Linked DNA regions of Bombyx mori. The main gene of each other region encodes a partner of the protein of the gene in region 5 in a complex. Links are inferred from orthologs where the notes say so. Each region holds a gene or a part of one and is shown on either strand. Other genes may lie near its edges.

Region 1 (4,080 bases), on a different chromosome or scaffold from region 5:
GCTTCTGTCCAAGCAGTGGGGTTTGCCCGAGGCCCGTTCCGTGCCCCTGTAAGGGGGTACGACAACTCCTTTTATAAATGAACTTTGATGTTGCCGTAGCTTTAAATATGACTGTTGATGTGCTGAAATTGAGTGTAATGACCATGAAAATTTTTTGAAAAAGTATTTCTCATTGTTTTTGACAGACTTCCACATTGAACGAATAACATCACCAGTAGCTACGTATAATTTTTAACCTACACAGGTAGTGATGTTTGGAGGTGGAGCAGTGATACGCTTAAGATCTAGGCAGTTTCCAAATCGGCAGATGCCGAATGCAGATGCATTCACTGTAATACAGTTGAATTACGATAACCTCCTTAAAAATGTTTACACTTGTGTACACAACTACAGACTAAAAAGAAATCTATACAAGAAAATTTCAAATCTGGGTTTATTTATCCAATTTAATACATGTACTAGAATTATAATTTCTTTATAATTCGTAGTCTTTTATTAGTATAACCTATACTTTTACAATTAATCTAGAACATTGAGAACACAAAGCTTATTCATTCATATTTTAAGATAAAACTGAGTGTCTATGCACATTCTCATTAGTTATTCACTTGATTTCTTTCACATATGCATCAAGCTCTGCATCTAATTGTTCTGCAGTAGGTACTGGTCGTTTGCCTCTGCCTGCACCACCACGTCCTCTTCTGTTTCCCCCACGTGCTCCACTATTGCTTTGATTTCTAATTCCTCCACCTCCTTCAAAAATAAAATAATTAATGGATTTCTAGTAATTTGTAACTTGCAAACAGTAAAGTGAAAATGTACAACAAGAACTAGTGGGAAAATATCAGTTTTAAAAAAAGTAATTAATTTTAATAATGTTTTTTTAAATGAAGGATTTAGGGCCGGAGGCCTTTCCAGTTACACCACGAATGCTTAGCCAGAAGAGAAGGGTTTGCTAACAGTTGAACACCTCCGAAAGAGGTCTAACACAATTCATGGGCAGCTGCTTTGCAAATGAATCTACTACCAGATCAGTAGTCTGTCTATGGATTAGGTTGCACATCAAACTCTTTAGAGTTCAATGAGTATGGTTAGTGTTAAAGCAGGTGTCTAATGCAAGAGTTATTGGATCTGATGGATCCGTAATTATGTGTCTAGGACATCAACAGTTAGTCTCTGCTGTGGGTAGAAATAGTCAGCGGCAGCAACAATATGGCGATTATCATGACCAATGGCCTTATTGAAGTATCTTTCCGACAATAACTAGGTGTTTCCAGATTGATTCGACTAAGAGGCCATCTTGTATATGGTGATTTGTCACAAATCACAATGATGTAATTTGTTATCACTCCTCCCATACAAACAAATCCTGGAAAATATCTTACCTCTTTTAGGATTGTTTCGTATAGTACCTCCCACACTCGCACCACCAATTCGATTTCTAGCCTCGGGCCTTAAAGTATTGATTTCAGATGTTGCCAATTGTATATTCATTGCCCGTCCATCAAGTGGCACTCCGTTATACTGTTTCATAGCCTTCACAGCATCTGCTTTTCTTTCAAACACAACATCTGCAGTACCTAAAAAAATTTAAAAATATCTTGTATGATGAAATACTTAATGGAACAAACTAAGTTTTTATGCTTTGTGATACATACCTAAAGATCTACCTGACCGATCATAATGTACAGATGCACTTTTGAGGATGCCAAATTCCGAAAATAGTTCCTTTATATCTGAATCTGATACTCCAAAGTCCAAATTGGATACAAGCAGCTTGGTAGGACCAGTTGTTATGGTCCCACTGTTTCTTTGAAGTTTCCTCTCACCAAAATCATTGAACATATCATGTTTCCAAGTGCTGTTCACATCACCCTGAAAAGGTCATCCTTCATAGAGCTAGCCATGTGGCTACTCTCTATGCCTCCTTTGAATATAATAAAAACTCAAAGCTTAGGCACTAAAATTAATACATTGACATCTGAACCACTTGATAAAATAACATTTGATGTAGTTTACATGTTTTTTTTCGAAAATTAAAATATAGAACTGTTTTATCACTTTCATCACACAGACACAAGACTAATAAGTTATGAAGCACAACCAGTCTCAGCCGTCCATGGAGTCCATTTATTTACTTTTCAACTCCTGAAGTCAATTCTATAAATTGGTCAAAACTGCACTGTAGACATCTCCACAAAAGTAACGTTTTGCTCGAATTCATTACACTTTTATATCAGCATCCATCATAGAATTTTCCGGCAGATGTAGGTAAACAATGCAAAACAAAAACGTTGATGGAGATAACAATATGGTTGCTGGGATTATGGTTTCAAGTTGAAAATAGGTCGGATACGAATAAAATAAGGGTCTTGATTTGAATCAAAGTGTCAAATTTCGTCTAAAACTATTTCAACAAGATGGTCCATATGGTTGCTTGACTTTTTGAGAACAAATTAGATACATTGATGCGTCACATTTGCCCGCCATTTGTAATTTTAGAATCATCTAATTATTGGAATTACCCTCGAATAGTTGGTAGATTTCGTTATGCCTCCACGATTTCTACCTCGTTGTACACCACCAGAGCGGTTGCTACGAAATCCAGCACCGCCTCCACGTCCTGTTCTTTTGTTTGCATCAAATTTTCTTCCAGCACCACCTCCAATCCTTGTCTTTTTGTTGGCTTTTATAATATCATCCAGTGCCATTTCAATTTGATCAACCATGGTGATTATTTGAAATTCTAAATATTTTTTCTATGAAAATTAAGTCAAAAACAAAAACAATCCTTTTAGAACTCTTCCTTCCCAAGTAGACGGTGACAAAATGGCCGAAGAAAAGATTCGTTATTGCCAGATTGCTAATATTAGTTCAACAGTAGATTGAAAAAAATTGTTGAGCTTTAAATTTGGTAGAAATTATAGTCAATAAAGACTATCTTACACATCTGTCTTAGTTTATTTTATTTTACATTTACCAGTTGATTTGGTCAAATCTTTCTGTTTAAAAAATTAAGCGCTTAGTTTTAATCTTTAACTAGGTAATCAAATCACGTAATGCTAATGCACTCAAAATTCAAATATTAAGAAGTGTATTATTTATGGTTCGAGATTTTTGGCGCGAGGAGTGAAGTTGTGTGTTTTGTTTTATTTTGTCTATTTAGTGTTTCTCCAAGTTTAAATGTGTAATAACGGTGGTTTATAACCTGTTTAATATCTGTGAAAGTGCACAAATGTGGGAAAATTGAAACAAAGCCGCTGAGCATAACTTTTTGGGATCCTCTAAAAAGTCCACTGAAAAAGTCTCAGTAAATGACTACCATTTTACTGAGATTATATTTCATCCCATATCATCTCATCTCATTTCATTTCATTCCATTTCATTTTCATTTCATTTCATTTCATGTTATGTTTCATATTAATCAACTTCATTTCATTTCATAAATCATTTTACATATAAAAAATATATAAAAGATTACGCTTTATGGTATGATACCTTTGCCTTTCCAATAATATATTAAGTGTATAATCTATGAATAAAACTGCTACTACTATCTATGGTTCGAATTTTGAATTTTATAGTTTCCTCAAGCTTGTAAACCAATCCACAATTTAAATAAATCGTTTTTATTAAAGTATCTGTACTTACATACTAGAAGCGATTTAAAAATACTGTTATAAAAACAATATGACTGTTGGGGAAACAGGCCAAAATTTGCCATGGTATGAACTATCATTAACAATGATTTAAACAAAAAAATCATAACTCAATATATTTTACTACGACGATTAACACTTTGTTTTTACGCAGGGTTGAAAAATATCGCCCAAAAAGATTGGATGATTTAGTATCTCATGATGATATAATAAAAACAAGTAAGTATAAATTTCTGAAACTAATGATCACATTATTTTAAAGAGACTATCAAATTTAAGGCTATAAAAATTGGACTTGAATCAGGTTGATATTAAGTTGCTAACCGTAATACGAATACCTTATAACAGTTAATGCATAAACCCCCTCTTCGTACCAGTATGTTTTGTACATTGTAACATAAAGTAAAGGATTTTTCTTTTT
Region 2 (4,260 bases), on a different chromosome or scaffold from region 5:
TGAGTGGCATTGAAATTTATGAATTGAACAACGTAGTTCTAAAAATCTTCTATAGCTAGAAACTAAGTAAGGGATTTTCCTGTTACGCCAGAAAGCATTTCGTCCATTAATAACTTCACAAAGATTTTGTAGTTTTAAAATTAAAGGGTGTCCATGATATTGTTGAATTTTAAATATAAATCTATCAGAAAGGTATTGTCTACGCAAAGATAGCGGCGGTTCAGAGCATTCTATTTGTAAAGCATTTATTGGAGTACTATTCATGGCTCCAATAACGATCCTGAGACTTTTATGTTGTAATAAATCTAATTTATGTAGAGGTTCTTTGTTTTCAAGACAAAAAGTTATGGAGCCAAAGTCTAATATACTACGTACCAAAGCATTATACATTAACCTAAGTACACCAGGATGAGACCCCCACCAAACGCCACTTACAGCTCTCATAATATTTATGTTTTTCTCACATTTTCTTACAATGTCGTTGATATGAGCGTTACCGTTCATACTAGAATCAAAAATGCGACCAAGAAATTTCGCCTCTTTAACCACTGGTATTCGTTCTCCATCAACAGAAATATTTACGGTGGGAACTTTTCTTTTCCGCGTAAAAACAACTATGAGACTTTTAGATTTAGATAACGAAAGATTTTGGGCAGAGAGCCAGGATGATAACTTGTTTAATGAATCGTTAAGAGTTTCCGCTGCTATTTTAATATCACGGTTAGCAGAGTAAACTAAGACATCATCTGCATATTGTAAGATGGAACAGGAAGGATCAACATTTAAATGGAGATCGAAAGTATAAATGTCATATAATAGAGGACTTAGAACAGAACCCTGAGGGATACCTTTCCAAACTTTTCTTATTTTGTCCTCAAAACCAGGTATATGTAAAGAAATAGTCCTTCCAGTATATAAATTAAAAATGAAATCAATAAATTTTAATGGTAATTTTAAATCCGACATTTTTTCTTTTAATTTAATTAAGTTTACATTATCATACGCGCTTTGAATATCTAAAAAGGCTCCCACAACCGATTCAGATTTCGAAAAAGACAAAAAAATGTCTGTTGCAAAAATGGCATGGCTATCGGACACACCTTTACCTCTTCTGAACCCATATTGAGAGCAAGGCAAAAGATTGTTATGTTCTACGTACCACTCAAATCTTTGTTTAATTAAATGTTCTGCTAATTTTACCAAAACAGATGATAACGCTACAGGTCTATAAGATAAAGGATTATTTGAATCTTTGTTAGGCTTTAATATAGGTATTATAATTTGATGTTTCCAGGAAGAAGGTATTATACCAGTGTCTATTATAGAATTAATTAAATTCAGTAAATATGATAGGGTTATAGGTTTTGAATTAATTAAGAAAGAGTAAGGAATACCATCACATCCTGGAGTGGAGTCTGATAACCGGTTCAATACTAATTGAAGTTCCGGCAAAGAAAATGAACACGCTAAGTTATTATTAATATTAGAGTTATCTGATATATAAGAGTATGTATAAGGCAATTGGTCAAACTTAGGAACCATAGTGGGTGCGATATTGTCCAAAAAAGGATTAATCCATTCTTGCGATGTATAATTTCTAGATGGGGCTATAAAAGAAGATCTAAACATTCTTATATTTTTCCAGATTAGGGAGGATGGCGAATCAGGCGAAAGCTTGGAACAAAATCTTTTCCATCCCTCTTTTTTCTTTTTCCGAAGAAGCCTTTTAGTGGCCGCTTCAACATTTTTATAAAATAAATAACTATGCATGGTCAAACATTGCTTATTAAGTTTTTCTGCATCATTTCTTTTATTGACAGCTTCTGTACATTCTTTGTCCCACCATGGGGGAGAAGATATTTTCTTATGGGCAACATTCTTTTTGGGGATATGTTTATCTGCAGCTGCTAAGTATGCCGTAATAAGGTTATCATACGCCTTGTTTATGTTGTTATAATCATCAAGAGTAGATAAACTTGGAAGGGACATAATTTTCGATTCGACTTCTTGACTAAACAGTTCCCAATCATAGTTATTTAATCTGAACTTAAATAACGGCGGTAGTGGATTAAAAGTGCCTGTTTTACCAGAGGGCAAGGAAATTAATAAGGGATAATGATCACTGCCACAGGACAGCGTTAAACATTCCCAGTTTAACAGTGAAGACAAACTGGCTGAACTAAGTGTAATATCAACATAACTTGGGGCTTGACCCGGAACTGGGCGACGAGTGGGGGACCCATCATTCAGAACACAAAGATTATGATCATTTATTATCTCCATTAAGCCATTTCCCATGCCATCATCGTTGGGTGCTCCCCATAAGAAGTGGTGAGCGTTGAAATCCCCTAGAACTACTATTGGTTTGGGTAATGATTGAATGATTTTGTCTAGTATAGGCAGAACAGATAAATCCTTTTCTGAAATGTACACAGATAGATATGTTACCTCACCTACTCGGGCAGCCACTGCTTGTAAAATATCCGAGTTAAAAGCTGGGATTGGCAAAGAAGAAAATCTGTGATTATTACGAATTAAAAGGGCTGTGCCACCATACCCATCATGTCTATCATGTCTGAGAATATTAAAACCGGCCATACGGAAATTGGAACCTGGAACTAACCAAGTTTCTGATATGGCTAGTAAAAAAATATTATGTGAATTAATTAAAGATATAATTTCATGTTTTTTAGGAACTATACTTTTACAGTTCCACTGGAGGACTCTGTCCATATTTAAAAATATTGAAAATTGATAGTGAAATATTATTTATAAGTGAAAGAGCAACATGTTCTGGTAGTTCTGAATTAGCAATAATATTTATAAGTGTGGATAACAATTTATTTAGTGTGTCAGAAGATGGCAACTGTGTATCCTTTTCTTTGTTGGATTGCAAAGCGGAACCTAGTTTACCTTGAGACTCATCAAATGAAATGCTGCGGATCAATGATTTATATTCTGATTTGTCATAACCCTTATTTAAAATAGATGCCTGTTTAGGCTTCTTTATAACAGTTTTTTTGTAAGAGACAGAATTTGAACTATCTACATCATTTAAACTTTGGGCAGATAGTGGAATAGATGATGTTATTTGTGAATATGATTTCTTTACAATAGGAAACAATTTAGAGGCTTCTTGGTATGATATGAGGTTTTGAGACATATGTTTTTTAATATTTGTTTGTCTACTAAACTCAGGGCAAGATTTGTTTGTAGCCATATGTTCACCTCTACAGTTAACACAAGAAAAAGTCTCAGTATTACAAGCCAGTCCGCTGTGCTCTCCACCACATTTATTACATCTAGGTTTGCTCCTGCATTGAACACGAGTGTGTCCAAAGCGACAACAATTGAAACATTGTACCGTTGGATAAATATACTGTTCAACTGGAATACTTGAAAAAAAGGAATACACTCTAGAGGGAAGAGACTGTCCGTCAAAAGTCAAGACCACAGTTTGAGTAGGAATCCATGAAGTTCCATCTGAGTTGACAGACTTCCTGTTTAATCTACGGGATTTGATAATTTGTCCATAGCCTTCTGGGATTTGCAGATTATCTACAATGTCCTCATGAGTCCACTCCTGAGGGATACCCTTTATCAAACCCATTTTACATATATTATATGTAGGAATCACTACATTATACAATGGATTCATAGACATGTTGGATATGAAAATATTGGCATCACTATGTGTTTTAAAAGTTATTGCCAGGCGATTACGACCTACTCGTTTAATTCCATCCTGTAATATATTACCAAGATTGCTTTTCTTTAGAAAATTTCCAAATTTAAGTGGGTGCAGTGATGTAGTACTATTAGAATCTGAGATTAAAGTAACATGGACCATATATGGGCCAGGATCCTGTTCAGTGTATTTTTTTCTGTAAACAGAGTCGGCCATTGGGGTCTCAGATGGTGTCATAGAAGGACTCGCTGAAGTAGGCTCTGGTGAGGTCTGTACAATTTGGCGAGGAGGCACTATAAGCTTATTTACGTTATTTGCAAGATTTCCCGCCAAAGCCTGCTGCAGCGGGCGCAACGAAAGTTGTTTGTCCGAGATCTTTGGTTTAAAAGAATTAACAAGTTGTTTCTTTTTTTGGGATTTCTTCGATTTAACGTTGACAAATTCAGATACATTGGAAAGGTCGAACTCATCACAGAAAAATATTGGTTGGCTAAACCTTGAGTTAGTCGTATCAGTTGTCTCCTCAGTAATATTCGGATCCGGGGGATCCGTTCCCGCCTCCAACTCCATAC
Region 3 (4,137 bases), on a different chromosome or scaffold from region 5:
CTCGCCGGATCTTCGCAGTGGGTCGCGTTTCCGATTCGCTGATAGATTCTACGAAGCACTGCTCTTGCTAGGGCTAGTGTTAGCAACGTCACTAGATTAGAAATCTCGTGAGCTCAGTTAGTCGTTCGGCAAATCTAATATAACCCCTTGAGGTTACTAGAATAGGTAAGAAAAAAAAAAAGAATTGCAGTGAAGCTTGTTCAAGTAACGATGATTGAGGTAAGCTAACATCCACTAACACGGCAGACGCATTAAAAGATATAAATTGTGATTGATGAGGTCCCAGACCATTTAAAGAGCGTATAAAGGATCTCTACCGAACGAACTTCCATTTTGACAAGCGGCTTAACACAGAAAGTAACGCTTGATACTAAAAATATATGAGTAAACTTAAAAAATAATATGTCGGATGGTTATCAGTTTACTAATTCAGAAAAATTACTCTCTGCGCACTTATGTGCAGATATTTGTGTTTATTTATTGCCTTTCTAAGTGGATGTGCATACGGCCCACTTGATGGTAAGTAGTTACCGTCGCTCATAGTCTATGAGTTATAGACATCAGGAATGCCAGGGGCAGAGCCAAGCCACGGCTTACCAAGTGCTGCTTGCTGTGTGATGTGATACATTATTTATTGTTAATGCTATTTTCGTTGTGCTTTTCCCTTTTTTTTCAGGAGGCTTTGTTGCACTGCGCGTTTATGCTCACAGTTTGGTTGACTCCAATGGCTTACTTCATGAGCCAAATAAAGGTGTGGCGACGAGAATACATGGGCAAGTGAATGACGAATAAATAATTGATTTCTTCTACTGTCTTTATTTTTAAATCTCAGAACGTATTCAGCTTCACCTCTACGCCTTAATCCATTCAACCTGGTAACAACCCGTTAATTAAATAAATGTCGAACACTAAGGTACAGTACAAGATTATAAGGTAAAAGTTCGGCATACAAATTATTTTTTAAGGTTTTCTGTAACTTTTTGTAATGTTCACCTTAAAACTTATGGAAATGAACTTTACAAAGATATTTTTAGAAAGCATTCTAAACTTTTTGCGAGAACGAGAGGTCTACTCTCAGCTTCCAAAGCAAACCCAGATCCGCATTAATACGACCCTAAAAGGTTAAAATTAAGGATAACAAAATCGCTGGACGTAGCTTCGGTTATCCCGGAAATCTCAGTAAATTCTCATCATTTCTATGAGCGCTGTTTCATCTTACTTCTATAAAATAATGAAATCATTCCTACAACTTTGCTTCTCGTGCTGCTGCCAAATAGTCTTAATTTCATACAACTTAGAGGTTTTGGCATTTATTACAAAAGACTTGCCTGTATGAGTTAGATTTCCTTTGCTTGTCCGATGAAAGGAACAGTCGTCAAATAAACAAAAAACACTAACAGGAAAACAACTAAAATTTTAATGTTAAATTTTACATGATAACCAAAGCTATGAAGGATTCAAAGCATTCGCAAGCTCCTATAGAAGATTTAAGTGAATTACGTAGTTATTTTGCGTCACACAATACTACACGCGAGTACATTGCACATTCATCCAAAGTACATTCCGTGGGCTGGTCCTGTGATGGTAGAAAGCTGGCTTCTGGGTCATTCGATAAAAGCGTTGCAATATTTAATTTAGAGAGGAGTAGATTGGTGAGTTATTGTTTATTTCAAAATATTTAAAATCCCTACTAAATTTGAGAGGTTATAATAAATTTTTTTTTGTTTTTAAGCAATAACTTAAAAATTGTGCAGCCTAGAAATAAAAATAAGTAGACACAAATTTTGTAAATTTCAGAGTCAAGATTTTATTTTCAAAGGCCACACAGGCTCTGTAGATCAACTCTGCTGGCATGCGTCACATCCTGATCTCCTGAGTACAGCGAGCGGAGACAAATCTGTTAGGATATGGGATACACGGTAATACTGGGATGTTAATTATTAGCCCTTTATAAATAAATATTAATATGAGATATCCAAAAAAAATTATAAACATCTAGAAATTTTTATATCAACACACATGAATACAATAGTTGAGATTCCATCGTATTCATAAAAGACAAGTGTTAGTTCCAAATGAACATTAATACTATTTTGCGGTAGAGAGTGTGGCATACCTTTATTGTAAATTTTCATAATATATCTTCCTGAACAAGATTGATACCATTGAGTTCAGTTGGCTTTTTCATGGTGACTTAATTTAAACTATTAATTTTAAATTTTTCTTATAATATAGAAAATCTAAGGGTGTTCTACAGGATAATAAAATTTATAGATCACACAAATGCGCGGCGACAATCCCAACCAAAGGTGAAAACATAAATATAGCATGGTCTCCTAATGGCAACACCATTGCGGTAGGGAACAAGGAAGATTTAGTTTCATTTATCGATACAAAAACTTATAAAGTGGTGAGTAATGAATTTTTACTTATATACAGTCAAAACCGTTTACTGCGACATCGTTTAGAACAACATACCGGTTATAATAACCTAGAACAAAGGTCCCGGCTGAATGCCATATGACCGCCTTATTAAAAACATTGCTTTATACGACATTGCTAATAACGACATACCTCATATAACGACCACATTTAACTAATATTTCGGAGAATTAGATCTGTTAGAACGACCAGCTAAGCTGTATTGTAAACAATTTGAATAGGTATCCACATTTGTCTTCAATGGATATTAAAATCAGGAAAGAAAACAATAGGATTTAGTTTAGTGTAGGGTCTTTTCTAATTCTTAGAAACAAAACACGTGCATGCAGTAGAGTCAAAGCCCGCTTCTTCATATCTCTTCAGTTAGTTTGTTACTTATCTATACACAAGACGCATCAAAACTTTATGGAGTTATTCGTGAAACTTTAAAAATGTCGCAATGAAAAAGAAAACAAATTAATATTGAAGAAAAATCGCGGATTATATCCAAGCTAGAGAGCGGAATTTCAAACAAAGACTTAGCAAAGGAATATGGTTATCACACTCGACAATTTCAACCATTTGGAAAGAGCGATGACGATACGTTAATTAAAATCCAACGTGAATTACAAAATATCTACGCACAGCAGAAGTGTTCCAAACAGACCAAAATTACAGATTTTATGCTCACAGAAAACTAATATGCATTGTACTTATGTGTAATAAACAAAATGTACGTTGTTGTATAAATATATTTTTCCAATAATTCCCTATCGATTTGTTTGTACTTGCACGATACACATTAAACATCACCGGTTGTTACGACTATCGGTTTTTACGACTGAATTTGAGCAGTCCCTTCGATGTCGTTATAACAGATTTTGACTGTACATACATATCTATCATCTCTCACAGCATTGATAAAAATTCAACTACATATATAAAATGTATGAAAATCATTAAAATCCACTGTCTAACTTGGTCATATTTCTTGTATCATCCAGATAAAATAGTATTATTAAGCCAATTGTAATTTTTTTATTGACACTCTTTTAAAGATTGACCAATTAATACCAAAAAATACCACTCAAAGAGGATACATACCAGAGATTCTGTCTTTTCAAATACATGAATATAGGGTGATTTGTATCGATTTAGTTACTGCATACATTAAGACATTTATTTATTGCAGGTAACAGAAGAACAGTTTAACTTTGAAGTGAACGAGATATCATGGAATAATACATCGGACTTGTTCTTCCTCACCAACGGACTGGGATGCGTACATATTATGACGTTAGTATTTTATAACATTTAATTCATCAATTCACTGCTAGAAGGAAATAGTTTCAACATTACTATAAAAATAGTTTTGTATTTGTTAGTTGTAAGTGCTGCTACTAAAGTTTGTATGTATTCTGAAGTTTACTTCATTCTTGCCATGGAGGATAGAACTAAGGAGTATTCCATCTTGTGTAGGGGACAAGTTGAAAAATGTCTACCTGTAAACAGCAAGTTACAGTTCGAAGAATCAACAAAATAACGCTAGTGTAGAAAGTGGAAATGGTATGATCCGTAAAGAAGAAATACGACAAATTATATAGCTGTGGTTTGAATTTCCCATTTTGTGGTATCATAGGAGCAGTAGTATTTAAGCTGCTTCAACTAACTAGATTGTCTAGGCACTGACACAAAGGATAGGTAACACAGAGAGAA
Region 4 (3,500 bases), on a different chromosome or scaffold from region 5:
TTTATTATTAGAAAAGAAAATTAAATATAAATAAAAGATAACCCATTTTTATTTATTTATATAAAAATTAAATACCTCGTTCGACATCATCTGAAGTGCTGCGATGTTCGTGTGGCGGTGAGATTGCTTCTAAATAATTGCTTTCCTGTTGATGTACGAAACATAATTTAGACTTTAGAATCTTACGTGTTCAACCTACTAGTTAAAAGAAGCAATTTTTGTGCCCCCAATACGGCACAAAAGTGCCGACTACCAAAAAAAACGACTTACCTACTTAACCGAACAAATTATCACAGTAATTCGAAAGAAATAACATATTGTATAAACAATACATTAAGAAAATTCCATTTATTTAATATGATATATGTATAAACTTACCCTCTGTAAACGTTCTTTGGGTGATCTATCTTTAATTCGGGTTTCTTCTTTAGACCTTTCCTTTGTGGAGCTGTAAAAACGTTACACTATAAATGCACGAACAGAAATAGAAACAGTTAAATGATCCGAGTCAGTAACAACGAGCATCAACCAACCTAAATCATGGTATCGACATTTACAAGTCGACATGTTTATATACATAGTGGTAGTAGGACCTCTTGTGAGTTCGCACAGGTAGGTACCACCACCCTGCCTATTTCAGCCGTGAAGTAGTAATGCATTTCAGTTTGAAGCCACAGCCGTTGTAACTATACTTGAGACCTTAGAACTTATATCTCAAGGTGGGTGGCGCATTTACGTTGTAGTTGTCTATGGGCTCCAGTAACCACTTAACATCAGGTGATTGATTTACTCGACCGATTATATATTCGTATTGTTTTAAGTCTACCTCTTTAATAGTGGCTATACTTAAACCGGTCTGACTATAATCATGCTCATGAGTAAAGAGGAATCATTGACAAGTATTCGCAAAAGGCAGTAGTGTATAAGTTACTCATAAAAGTAAACACCGAATTATGAAAAACAAAACTTTTTTATCCACTAGAAATGTTTTTCGGAACGAAATAAAAGTTTAACAAGATCCTCAAATCGCGGAGAAAAAAAAAGCATTGAAGGTAGTGTACGTACGTTTTTGATTCTCTTTTGGAATCTTTATCTCGGTCCGCTTCGTCTCGGCGGCGGTCGCTATTGCGCGAGTCCCGTTTTTCACTTTCTGTAAATAAATTTAGCTAATATGAGAAATTGATAACCAGTCATGAAATCAGTAACAATTTATACCTAAACGTATACATAAGACGCAATCTTAATTTATAAATTGATCTTTCAACAAATATACAGGATAATTTTGAAGGCGCAATAAATGTTTCTTTACTTGTGTACTCCCCAAATTATCTTACGAAACAAAGTTTTTGTGAGCATTACCGTTATTTATTTTCCTTTCAGTCACAACATCTATAAGCCGCGCCAATAAAGAAACGAATCGAAAATGGCGTCTATGTACCTGATAGATAGTAGGGTAAACAAATAACAAGAAAGATAGAAAGAAAAAGTTGTTTATTGTAAAAAAATATAAAAAAACAAATGAGAATGTACTTTACTTTACATCACTGTGAATGACTTTTCCTCGTTTGTCAGAGGCCATATTATTTACGACACGTGGCGCAAAAAAACGATAACAATAACAAATTTAACAAAAATAACAAAATAACAACGAAATAACAAATTTGAGAGAAAATAGATCGCGTCGAGACAGTGTGAGAAAAAATCAGAACTGATATTTTTTTTTGTATGCAGTACGCGCCGTGTGCGATTAAAGACAGCAATAGCTTAGAGTGAGAGCGCATGATCGCCGCCGCCATTTTAGATTCGTTTCTTTATTGGCGCGGCTAATGGGTATATTTGACAATCATTATCAAGCTAGCTACCCGATCTGCAGATATAACTCTGTGGGAGTGTGTAAAGACCTTGTGGTGGGGGCGCGGGTGCAGGGGCGGGTTCAGGATCTGCGACCACTTCTTCTTTGGCGGGCGCAGCGCTGGCGGCCGCGGTGCTCGCCGCTTTGTGCTTGTCGCTCATCTAAAACATACCATACACGTTGTATTGCTGTATCATCTATGCCTTTATTATTTCATCCATACTTTTATTTTGTTAGATTTTTAAGGTACTAACATAGATTATAAGTAACTCTTACTAACAAAATGTTATGGTTTTAAAAAAAAACTTAAATAAAGTATAAATAAATTAAATAAATAAATAAAAATATTTTGTATGGCAATCGATTTCAAACGATTTGAGACTTTAAAGTTCAAAATTCGGTACTTTAGACAATTATGTTTTATTTTATGTTTCAACCACGAAAGTAACACTTAATTCAGGTTGCTGCCACAAACTCGACAGGTTCTTCAGTAGCATAAAGTTCGAACTAACGGCTGCTTGATTAATAAAAAGTTTCTCTGATACAAACAAAAATATTATCATTACGCCATTTCCGTTCTATCACTCGTGTGCACACAGAGTATGCTTGTCGACTTCAACTGTACCGAGGGTAAGCAATGGCTGTACAGCGCTTCCACACGGTCTTTCAAGTGACAAACCCAAAGTTTATATTAGGAAAGTCTCTTCTGTACTACTTGTCGTCATTTCACTATCGAGAACCTGTCTTTGTACAAATCCGCCTATAGATGATAGCAAAATGTTACCTGATGGAAATCAGCTTCATTCATCATATTCGAGGACTTGTTCCGTAGCTGTCCACTGTAGACCGTTGCTAACACATAAAGATCTTGTCTTTGTATTTTCTCTTGTTCCTTAACCTGCAAATAATCACTGTTAAGATTTACTTTGTCTTGTTGGAAATTTGGTTAAACGTACGATACCAAATAATACCTTATCAATTTTCTTTTCGATAATTTGACTTAGCTTAGCCAGAACAGGAAAATGAGGTAAGACTCTTATTAGAACTATGAGGGCGTTACGTATTTGCACGTAGTCGCCTGAATCCAAGCAAACAACCATTGCTTTGGTTATTTTATAATGCCATTTGTGGCACACGTGCCTGAAAACCGATTACATGATTAGTGAACATTCGAAGTATCGATTACGAGTTATCGATTTTTTTACGAATTAATTTGAAGTATTCAAAGAGTGAACGATATAAGTTTATATTAACATATTAGATCACCAGAAGATTTTCGGTTGCTTTTTCGAAAGCTTTCATGATTTTGTGTCTACCACTTTATCAATTCAGACTTAAGCATTTTCATGCAAACACATTAATCATGCAGTAAGATCAGATCACAGTATTGCAGAAATGTAGTCCACCTGTAGTTTTCATATCCGACATGATCATTAGCTTCAGTGAACTGCTTGGAGACGCGGTACTTGGTGACGAAGCCGGGGTAGTGCGCGCACTCTCGGTGGAAGGCGTCCTTGTCGGCGTGCCAGCGCATGGCGGTCGTCAGCACCTTGCAGAGGAACGTGCCGTACCGCGCCGCCTCCGCCTCCGTGCAAGACATCACCGAATACGTGATGTCGCAAAACAACTGCGGGCAAATTCATTTTTC
Region 5 (4,092 bases):
CAAGTACCGACTGGGCGCAATTGGTTAAATATTGTTATCCAAAAAACTTTATTGATGTTTTAATGTTGCATACATGCATATTTTACATTGTCCATTAAAAGCTCAAAATATGTACAGGTGACTGAGAAAATGAAAAATTAAGTTATTTAAATATCCTAGAGTAAATTTTACTGAACTTATCATAATATTAGTAAATACTGTATATTAGTCGTCTATTATCAAAGGTGGCAATCTGTGCATTTGGACAAAAAAATGTTATTGATATGTCAATACAGATTGATTTGAATATAATAGTCTCCTTCAAAGAATACGGTTCAAAACCTGCATTAAATAAAGGTTAATACTTAACCTGTTATTTATCTAAGATGTCGCTCATAAGAGTTTTGTGACTACCAATGGAATACAAAGTCAATAATTCATTTTTCTGATTTACCAATAATTTTCCAAAAGTCACATTACCGGCTTTGATAATAGTCGACTCATATAATAAAACTTAGGTCTCGATTTAATTTCATTTAATTTTTTCCACCTAAATATGCTTATAACTATCGAAAATGTAAAACTTGATCTTTGTAATTAAGAGACGTGCACAAATCTATTTCTGGACTGGAACCGGCTAAACTTAACAGGGTGCTGTATTTAGTTCTTAGCACCGCACTGTATATGGTCGTGGCAGACACTGGTAGTTCTACTCTCACCTCACCCGAGTAGCTCATTTGGTAAAAATGTTTAGAAGTACCACCGGCAAACACACAGTCATCATGAAAGAATGACACATGAATCCCATTGTCTGGAATGTCAAAGACTGTCACTGCATCTAATGAACGAAGGTGCCACAGAGACAATCGAGGTCCACCACCGCATACCTGTAAATTTTTTATATATTCCATTATTAATTATCACCCAGGTGTTAAGTGGTTACCAGAGCCCATAGACATCAGTACGTTGTAGATGTCTATGGGCTCTAGTAACCACTTAACACCAAGTGAGCTGTGAGCTCGTCCACAATCTAAGCAATAAAAAAAATTCTACAATGTAAATGCGCCATCCATCTTGAGATATAAGTTCTAAGGTCTCAGTATAGTTACAACGGCTACCCCACCCTTCAAACCGAAACACATTACTGCTTCACTGCAGAAATAGACAGGGTGATGGTACCTACCCGTGCAGACTCACAAGAGGTCTTACCACCAGTAATTATGCAAATTATAATTTTGCAGGTTTGAGTTTCATTACACAATGTTATTCCTTCACCGTGAAATCAATTGTGAACATTGGTCAAGTACGTATTTCATTAGAAAAATTGATACCTGGCTTGTGGGATTCTAACATTGTTGCATTGCTAGATATGATTGCACCGGACATCTTATCCTTTAGGCCACAACGACTTCGACACAACTTTCCTTAGGAATGCTATTGATGGCTTAAGAGGGTTTTAAATAAAATAAATCGCCTTTTACAACACACACAGAAAAATATCAGTCACAATATTATTATGTAAATTCCCTATTAAACAAAAATAATTTTTTCACTGATTTTCATTTTTGTTTTTATTTTCACCTCTGGCATTTTAATGATAATATGTATGAATAATTAGATTGATGATAGATGAACTTACAATCCAGTCATCTCCAAGAGCTGCTGAGCCAATCCACTTGCCAATATCAGGTCTGCTGACCTTATTATTAGTGTGCGGTTCCAATTTATTGTGTGATTTTCCACTTCTAGTATCCCAAAGCATAACCAAACCATCTTCGCCTGCTGAAATAATCTGTTGGTTTCTGAAATTTTTTTTTAAATAACTTCTTTATTACTGTAATATTAGCCATAAGCATATATGTATATCACTGTCAGGGCAAATATATTAGCAGCTGAAATAAGGCAAATAAACAAACAAACAACTTACTTTCCATGAATAGAATGAATAAAATTATTATGTCCCTTATAAGTTGAAATAAGGCTCCCATCTTCCAAATTAAACACATACACATTATTGTCTCCACAACCAGCATACAGCTTCTCACTGTCTTGAGATAGCCACATGCAGTTCACATCGTTGTAGTCCAAAAAAGTTTGGGAAGGAATCTTTATGCTCCATACAGGTTTTGATAATTTAACAGAAACAACAGCCTTCCAGTCCCATCCGCATATTTCATTAACGGTACCAATTATAAGGAATTTTTCCGTTGAAACTAGACTACAAATCTGTTTTTTTGAATCTATAGAATGTATATGTTTTGGTTTGTTGTATTCAACAGATAATAATTCTAGTACTGGATTTAAAATACGATCTAGGCTGTAACAAAAATTTAGAATGAATTTATAAACCTCTCCAAATATTAAAATATACTTCTATAAATTTAATACAAATAACATACTCAAATACAGCAAGATCTCCATAAATATTGCCGGCCACTAAATATTTACCACACGGCGATAAAGTCTGAGATAAAACAGTGTTATACAACATTTTATTCAACATGGTAAAAGTTTTGTGTTTGCTCAGAAACTAGACTACTTCGTCAGTTTTTCTAGATGCCATGCAATATTTTAATTGAAAAAGAAACATAAACAACCATAGGTAAACAACACAATTTAAAGCTACATATAACCTCTATTTCGAATGCAGCGATTTTTTTGCGGCATACACTCTTTAGGCAAAGGGAACAGTGTCCATGCTCTATTTTAAAAAACCAAAATGATTTAGCTCTATAGCTCTTTATGACGAATTGAGATAAAATTAAGGCAAATTCACCCTGTATAAGAACAGAAATTTAGTAAGACCTAAGGTTATTTTTTTAACAAAGGAAGCTATATAGACGAAGCTATCTTTCCACAAATCAACTTAATAAATCACGTATTAATTTATTGACTCATTACTATTATAGGTTAGAAACATTTTAATAAAATGAAATAGGTACTTCACTTTACTCTTACTAAAACTCTTATTACACTATATTATTATGTACTCTTATCTAAAACAAAAATATTGTGGTTTTATTGACATTTGCCTAAGTTTCTTTTCATATATTTCATTTTGTTTGCCGAAAACTCATTAAATCATGTTACATGTATTATTTTTATTCAAAAATTATGCTTTTTATCTTATTGTTTAGCGATCTCAAAATAGAAAAGTTATTCTAAAGTTCCAATTGATTTGCTTGACTTTGTCATTGTCAGTTAAAAACTATAGATAAAATGAAACATCTAAATTCATAGCCATTTCGTTGTCTATGAATAATTCAATCTAAAAAAATCAAAACCAAGCAAGATGGTCGTGTTCAATTCTTTTTAAACATAAACATATAATCTAATAATATTGTGAGTTATTGATCATTAACGTTGATACATTTTTTGAAAGAGAAATTGTTATTTATAGATTATTTTACTAACTTTTCTGGGAGTTTCTAATCTCGTGGCCTAATTCAGAACCTTCAATTTGCACACCGTAAGTGTTACGATTGGTTTTAGGTATATAATACGAAATAATGTATAATGGGATCGGGTTGACGACGCCACGGGGCTCCGGTACAAATGGCTACGTACAGAGAAATTGGGCCACGGTAAGAAAAACAAAAGACTCCGTCAACTACCGGACTGAAGATGAGATCGCCAAGTTGGATTCGGCGTCAAACAAACAACCAAATAGAGAAATACTCGATCATGAGAGGAAAAGGAAGATTGAAGTCAAGTGTGCAGAGTTGGAAGATAGCCTGGAAGAACAAGGGTGAGTAGTTAGCATAAATACAACAAATACACAGAAATCGGATTCATGGTATTGGAGATTTGTTCCGGGGATGGTCTCTTAAATTTTTATGATATGAGGTTGGCACACGTTGGGCTTTATAAATCAACATTATTTTGTAATTCTTGCTACCTTTTTCAGGGTTTCCAATTATTATATATTTTTTTTCTAAATTTAATTTTGTTTGGTAATTTAATATTCATATTATTAGGCTTTTTCTTCATATTTCAAGGAAACCGTGATTACTTTAACAACTATGACAGTCTGCTAATAATATTACTAATGAGTTATAATAACTGATGATAGCAGTAGGTAATCATAGGAAATTTTATGTGCTGTGAGTTTTT
Region 6 (2,674 bases), on a different chromosome or scaffold from region 5:
AAAGCATGAACGTAGTTACGACATGAACACTCTTAATATCACTTGATTAGAAATACGGCGTATAATTGGAACATTTTTTAGAGATTTTGTACTTATTAATTACATAAATGTTTTCCCTACCTATTCCAGGTTCTCGCGGATGGGTGAACTTACAACCTGCTCAATCTGAGAAAGTTTGTTAATACTAGCTCTAGCAAGAGGAGTGTTTCGCAGAATCTATCACCGGATCGGAATTTAAGCTGCCGTAATAACACGTTTAAGCATGACGAAATGAAATTCTAAATTAAATAAAATTAATCAATTCACACAATGCCGGGTTCCCGGTAAAAAAGTCATTTAATCACTTTTCCACACATTTTTTCAGAGATTGTGCTGTTTAAACTTCTACCCTCTTTTAGTCTGTCAGGTACTTACGTTGTTGTGTAAATTTCGCAGCTATTTTAATTAAGCGTGTAATCTATGCTCCATTTTACGTTGTAATCTAACTGACTTTTTGGCGGGAACGCGAGGAGTGAAGTTGTGTGATTTGATTAATTTTGTCTATTTAGTGTTTCTTCAGGTTTAAATAATAAATAATAATAAATAAATATTTACTAACAATCACGCCACGTTAACTGGTCCCGTGATAAGTTCGTAAAGAACTTGTGTTACAGGTACCAGATAACGGATTTAAATGTAAGATTTTTATTATACGCATACATATATTTAATATACATCCATAACCCTGGAAAAGACATTTATATTTATCATACAAATATCTTCCCTTGGCGGGATTCGAACCCGCGACCCCCTTGTGTAGTGACCATGTCACTTACCACTACACCAGATGGCCGTTATGTGTAATAACGGTGGTTTATTAACTGTTTAATATCTGTGAAAGTGCAAAAATGTGGGAAAATGAAATAAAGCCGCTGGACGTAACTTCTCGGGATCCTCCAAAAAGTCAACTGATAAAATCTCCGTAAATATTTGACTAAGATTTATTTCATCTCATATCATCTCATCTTATTTAATTTAATTTCATTCTGGTTGATTAATGTCTCAAATTAATCATCTTCACTTAATTTCATTTTACTCCATATAATTTTTCATAAAATTAAGAATATTAAATATTAAAGTAGGACATGACCTAAAAGTGTTAGTTACCAGGTCATAAAATCTCTTAAAAAAAGTAGTGAACATAGATTATACACTTCGTATTTCTAATTTCTAGTGTAAGCTAACGCTAAGCATCGCGTGTAAGCATTCTAAAAGTTCCTTGTTCAATAACGTAAACTACTTTTGATTACTATGGCGGATTCAACAGTTTCCGATGTGACTAAGATGAAAGTTGTTGAACTACGTAAAGAATTAAAATCACGTGGACTTTCATACGCCGGCGACAAAGCAGAGTTAATCGCTAGACTACAAGCTGCAATTATATCTCAAGATGAACACACCGACATCAACTTTGAATTTGACGAAATGGACTCGGACGGAGTTTTTGAAGACGAAGAAGTTAAAAGCCAAACAGACGTACTTGATGATACTGCCGTGGACACTTTAAACGAAGATTTAGTTCTTTCGGAACAGTCTTCTACTGCGACAATCGCTGTAGAAACAAAATCAACACGAACATTAAAACGCAAAACCAACGCAGAAACCAAAGATAAAAGTGCAGAAAATGCTAGTGCAAAGAAAATTGTGTTGAATAGACCCTCATCAATTTCACTTGTCAGTTCTAAAACTGTTGATGATCAAATTAATGAAAAATCTGTAGAGCCGAAAACGGCATCCGAAAGTAATAATGTCATTAAAATAAATACTGATCTAGATCCAAAGAAAAGGTTAGAGTTGCGTGCTAAAAGATTTGGTTTGCCTATTAAAATGTCCGAGTCTGAGAGAAAGGAAGCCAGGAAACAAAGGTTTAATCAAAATGATAATCAGAACACCTTCACTAGTACAGGGACGTTAAACGAAAATATGGAAAAACTTAGAAAGCGAGCAGAGAGGTTTGGTGAATCTGTTTCCAAAATAATGACAGATATTGAACTAAAGGAGAAATTGGAAAAACGTAAAGCCAAATTTGGTGCTGTTGCATAGAACATGTTTCTGATAATGGAAAGTCTACTCTAACAAATTAAGATTAGTATATAAGTATTGTTTTAAATAAATAAAACATTCTACTAAGTCAATATTTGTTAAGCATTTTAATTACATATTAAATCATTCGTTCATGTTATAGAATGGCAATTCTTGAAAATCATCAATTATGTGATGGATGACTTGGTTTTGGGCAGAATTTTTACTAATTTCATTAGTATTAAAATCTTGTGGTATATGTAGTGCATATTCCATAAAAGGTTCTTTATGAATATTAGCCCAGCGAATAGCTACATCTTTCAATAAACACTTTCGAAATGCCATACAATGCATGTGTTGAAATTTCTGATAACGAATTCTTGAAAAACCCATTAAGGCTAATGCATAACGCCAGCACTTCATTGTTTTGCTATTTGCTCCAACGTGTTTTGAATCCGGTGTGGTAACAGTAAGCAACCCTCCAGGTTTCAATATGTCATAGGCTTTTTGACATGCAGTTATTCGAAGCTGGGAAGTTGGAATATATTCTAATAAAAAACAAAATGTCACACTTTCATAGCTATTTTCTCCTATTTCTTTAACTTTATTGTCT

The links.
Region 1: THO complex subunit 6 (region 5) and ALY share a complex: the UniProt entries of both Homo sapiens proteins name them as parts of the transcription/export (TREX) complex. The link is inferred for Bombyx mori from reciprocal best matches to the Homo sapiens genes THOC6 and ALYREF.
Region 2: the proteins of THO complex subunit 6 (region 5) and THO complex subunit 1 are in contact, whole or in part, in a cryo-EM structure (PDB 7APK), measured with the Homo sapiens proteins. The link is inferred for Bombyx mori from reciprocal best matches to the Homo sapiens genes THOC6 and THOC1. Residues at the interface, in NP_001334633.1 of Homo sapiens: Leu57, Ser58, Ser59, Glu60, Pro312, Glu313, Lys315, Thr330, Asn331, Gly333, Tyr334, Ala336; in NP_005122.2 of Homo sapiens: Ser227, Pro229, Ile230, Asp231, Tyr232, Leu234, Arg236, Val270, Ser273, Tyr274, Asp309, Leu312.
Region 3: THO complex subunit 6 (region 5) and THO complex subunit 3 share a complex: the UniProt entries of both Homo sapiens proteins name them as parts of the transcription/export (TREX) complex. The link is inferred for Bombyx mori from reciprocal best matches to the Homo sapiens genes THOC6 and THOC3.
Region 4: THO complex subunit 6 (region 5) and THO complex subunit 2 share a complex: the UniProt entries of both Homo sapiens proteins name them as parts of the transcription/export (TREX) complex. The link is inferred for Bombyx mori from reciprocal best matches to the Homo sapiens genes THOC6 and THOC2.
Region 6: THO complex subunit 6 (region 5) and SAP domain-containing ribonucleoprotein share a complex: the UniProt entries of both Homo sapiens proteins name them as parts of the transcription/export (TREX) complex. The link is inferred for Bombyx mori from reciprocal best matches to the Homo sapiens genes THOC6 and SARNP.

What each region holds. Positions count from the first base shown.
Region 1 is NC_085114.1:10,512,187-10,516,266, forward strand, and holds ALY, read right to left. Parts: upstream 2,787-4,080; 5' UTR 2,730-2,786; coding exon 2,526-2,729; intron 1,876-2,525; coding exon 1,659-1,875; intron 1,581-1,658; coding exon 1,386-1,580; intron 754-1,385; coding exon 605-753; 3' UTR 501-604; downstream 1-500. Other genes in the region: replication factor C (activator 1) 5, read left to right, coding at 3,691-3,725, 3,814-3,878. UniProt on the Homo sapiens protein: Functions as an mRNA export adapter; component of the transcription/export (TREX) complex which is thought to couple mRNA transcription, processing and nuclear export, and specifically associates with spliced mRNA and not with unspliced pre-mRNA.
Region 2 is NC_085117.1:15,880,659-15,884,918, forward strand, and holds the start of THO complex subunit 1, read right to left. Parts: upstream 2,801-4,260; 5' UTR 1-2,800. UniProt on the Homo sapiens protein: Component of the THO subcomplex of the TREX complex which is thought to couple mRNA transcription, processing and nuclear export, and which specifically associates with spliced mRNA and not with unspliced pre-mRNA.
Region 3 is NC_085132.1:2,065,620-2,069,756, forward strand, and holds the start of THO complex subunit 3, read left to right. Parts: upstream 1-1,337; 5' UTR 1,338-1,433; coding exon 1,434-1,652; intron 1,653-1,797; coding exon 1,798-1,919; intron 1,920-2,274; coding exon 2,275-2,410; intron 2,411-3,613; coding exon 3,614-3,717; intron 3,718-4,137. UniProt on the Homo sapiens protein: Component of the THO subcomplex of the TREX complex which is thought to couple mRNA transcription, processing and nuclear export, and which specifically associates with spliced mRNA and not with unspliced pre-mRNA.
Region 4 is NC_085119.1:9,008,740-9,012,239, reverse strand, and holds part of THO complex subunit 2, read right to left. Parts: intron 3,480-3,500; coding exon 3,259-3,479; intron 2,993-3,258; coding exon 2,824-2,992; intron 2,751-2,823; coding exon 2,637-2,750; intron 2,014-2,636; coding exon 1,902-2,013; intron 1,151-1,901; coding exon 1,066-1,150; intron 449-1,065; coding exon 379-448; intron 146-378; coding exon 76-145; intron 1-75. UniProt on the Homo sapiens protein: Component of the THO subcomplex of the TREX complex which is thought to couple mRNA transcription, processing and nuclear export, and which specifically associates with spliced mRNA and not with unspliced pre-mRNA.
Region 5 is NC_085116.1:3,183,656-3,187,747, forward strand, and holds THO complex subunit 6, read right to left. Parts: upstream 2,660-4,092; 5' UTR 2,483-2,659; coding exon 2,379-2,482; intron 2,297-2,378; coding exon 1,907-2,296; intron 1,782-1,906; coding exon 1,619-1,781; intron 867-1,618; coding exon 546-866; 3' UTR 501-545; downstream 1-500. Other genes in the region: serine/arginine repetitive matrix protein 2, read left to right, coding at 3,489-3,727. UniProt on the Homo sapiens protein: Component of the THO subcomplex of the TREX complex which is thought to couple mRNA transcription, processing and nuclear export, and which specifically associates with spliced mRNA and not with unspliced pre-mRNA.
Region 6 is NC_085113.1:6,731,124-6,733,797, forward strand, and holds SAP domain-containing ribonucleoprotein, read left to right. Parts: upstream 1-1,290; coding exon 1,291-2,082; 3' UTR 2,083-2,174; downstream 2,175-2,674. Other genes in the region: S-adenosylmethionine sensor upstream of mTORC1, read right to left, coding at 2,206-2,674. UniProt on the Homo sapiens protein: Binds both single-stranded and double-stranded DNA with higher affinity for the single-stranded form. Specifically binds to scaffold/matrix attachment region DNA. Also binds single-stranded RNA. Enhances RNA unwinding activity of DDX39A.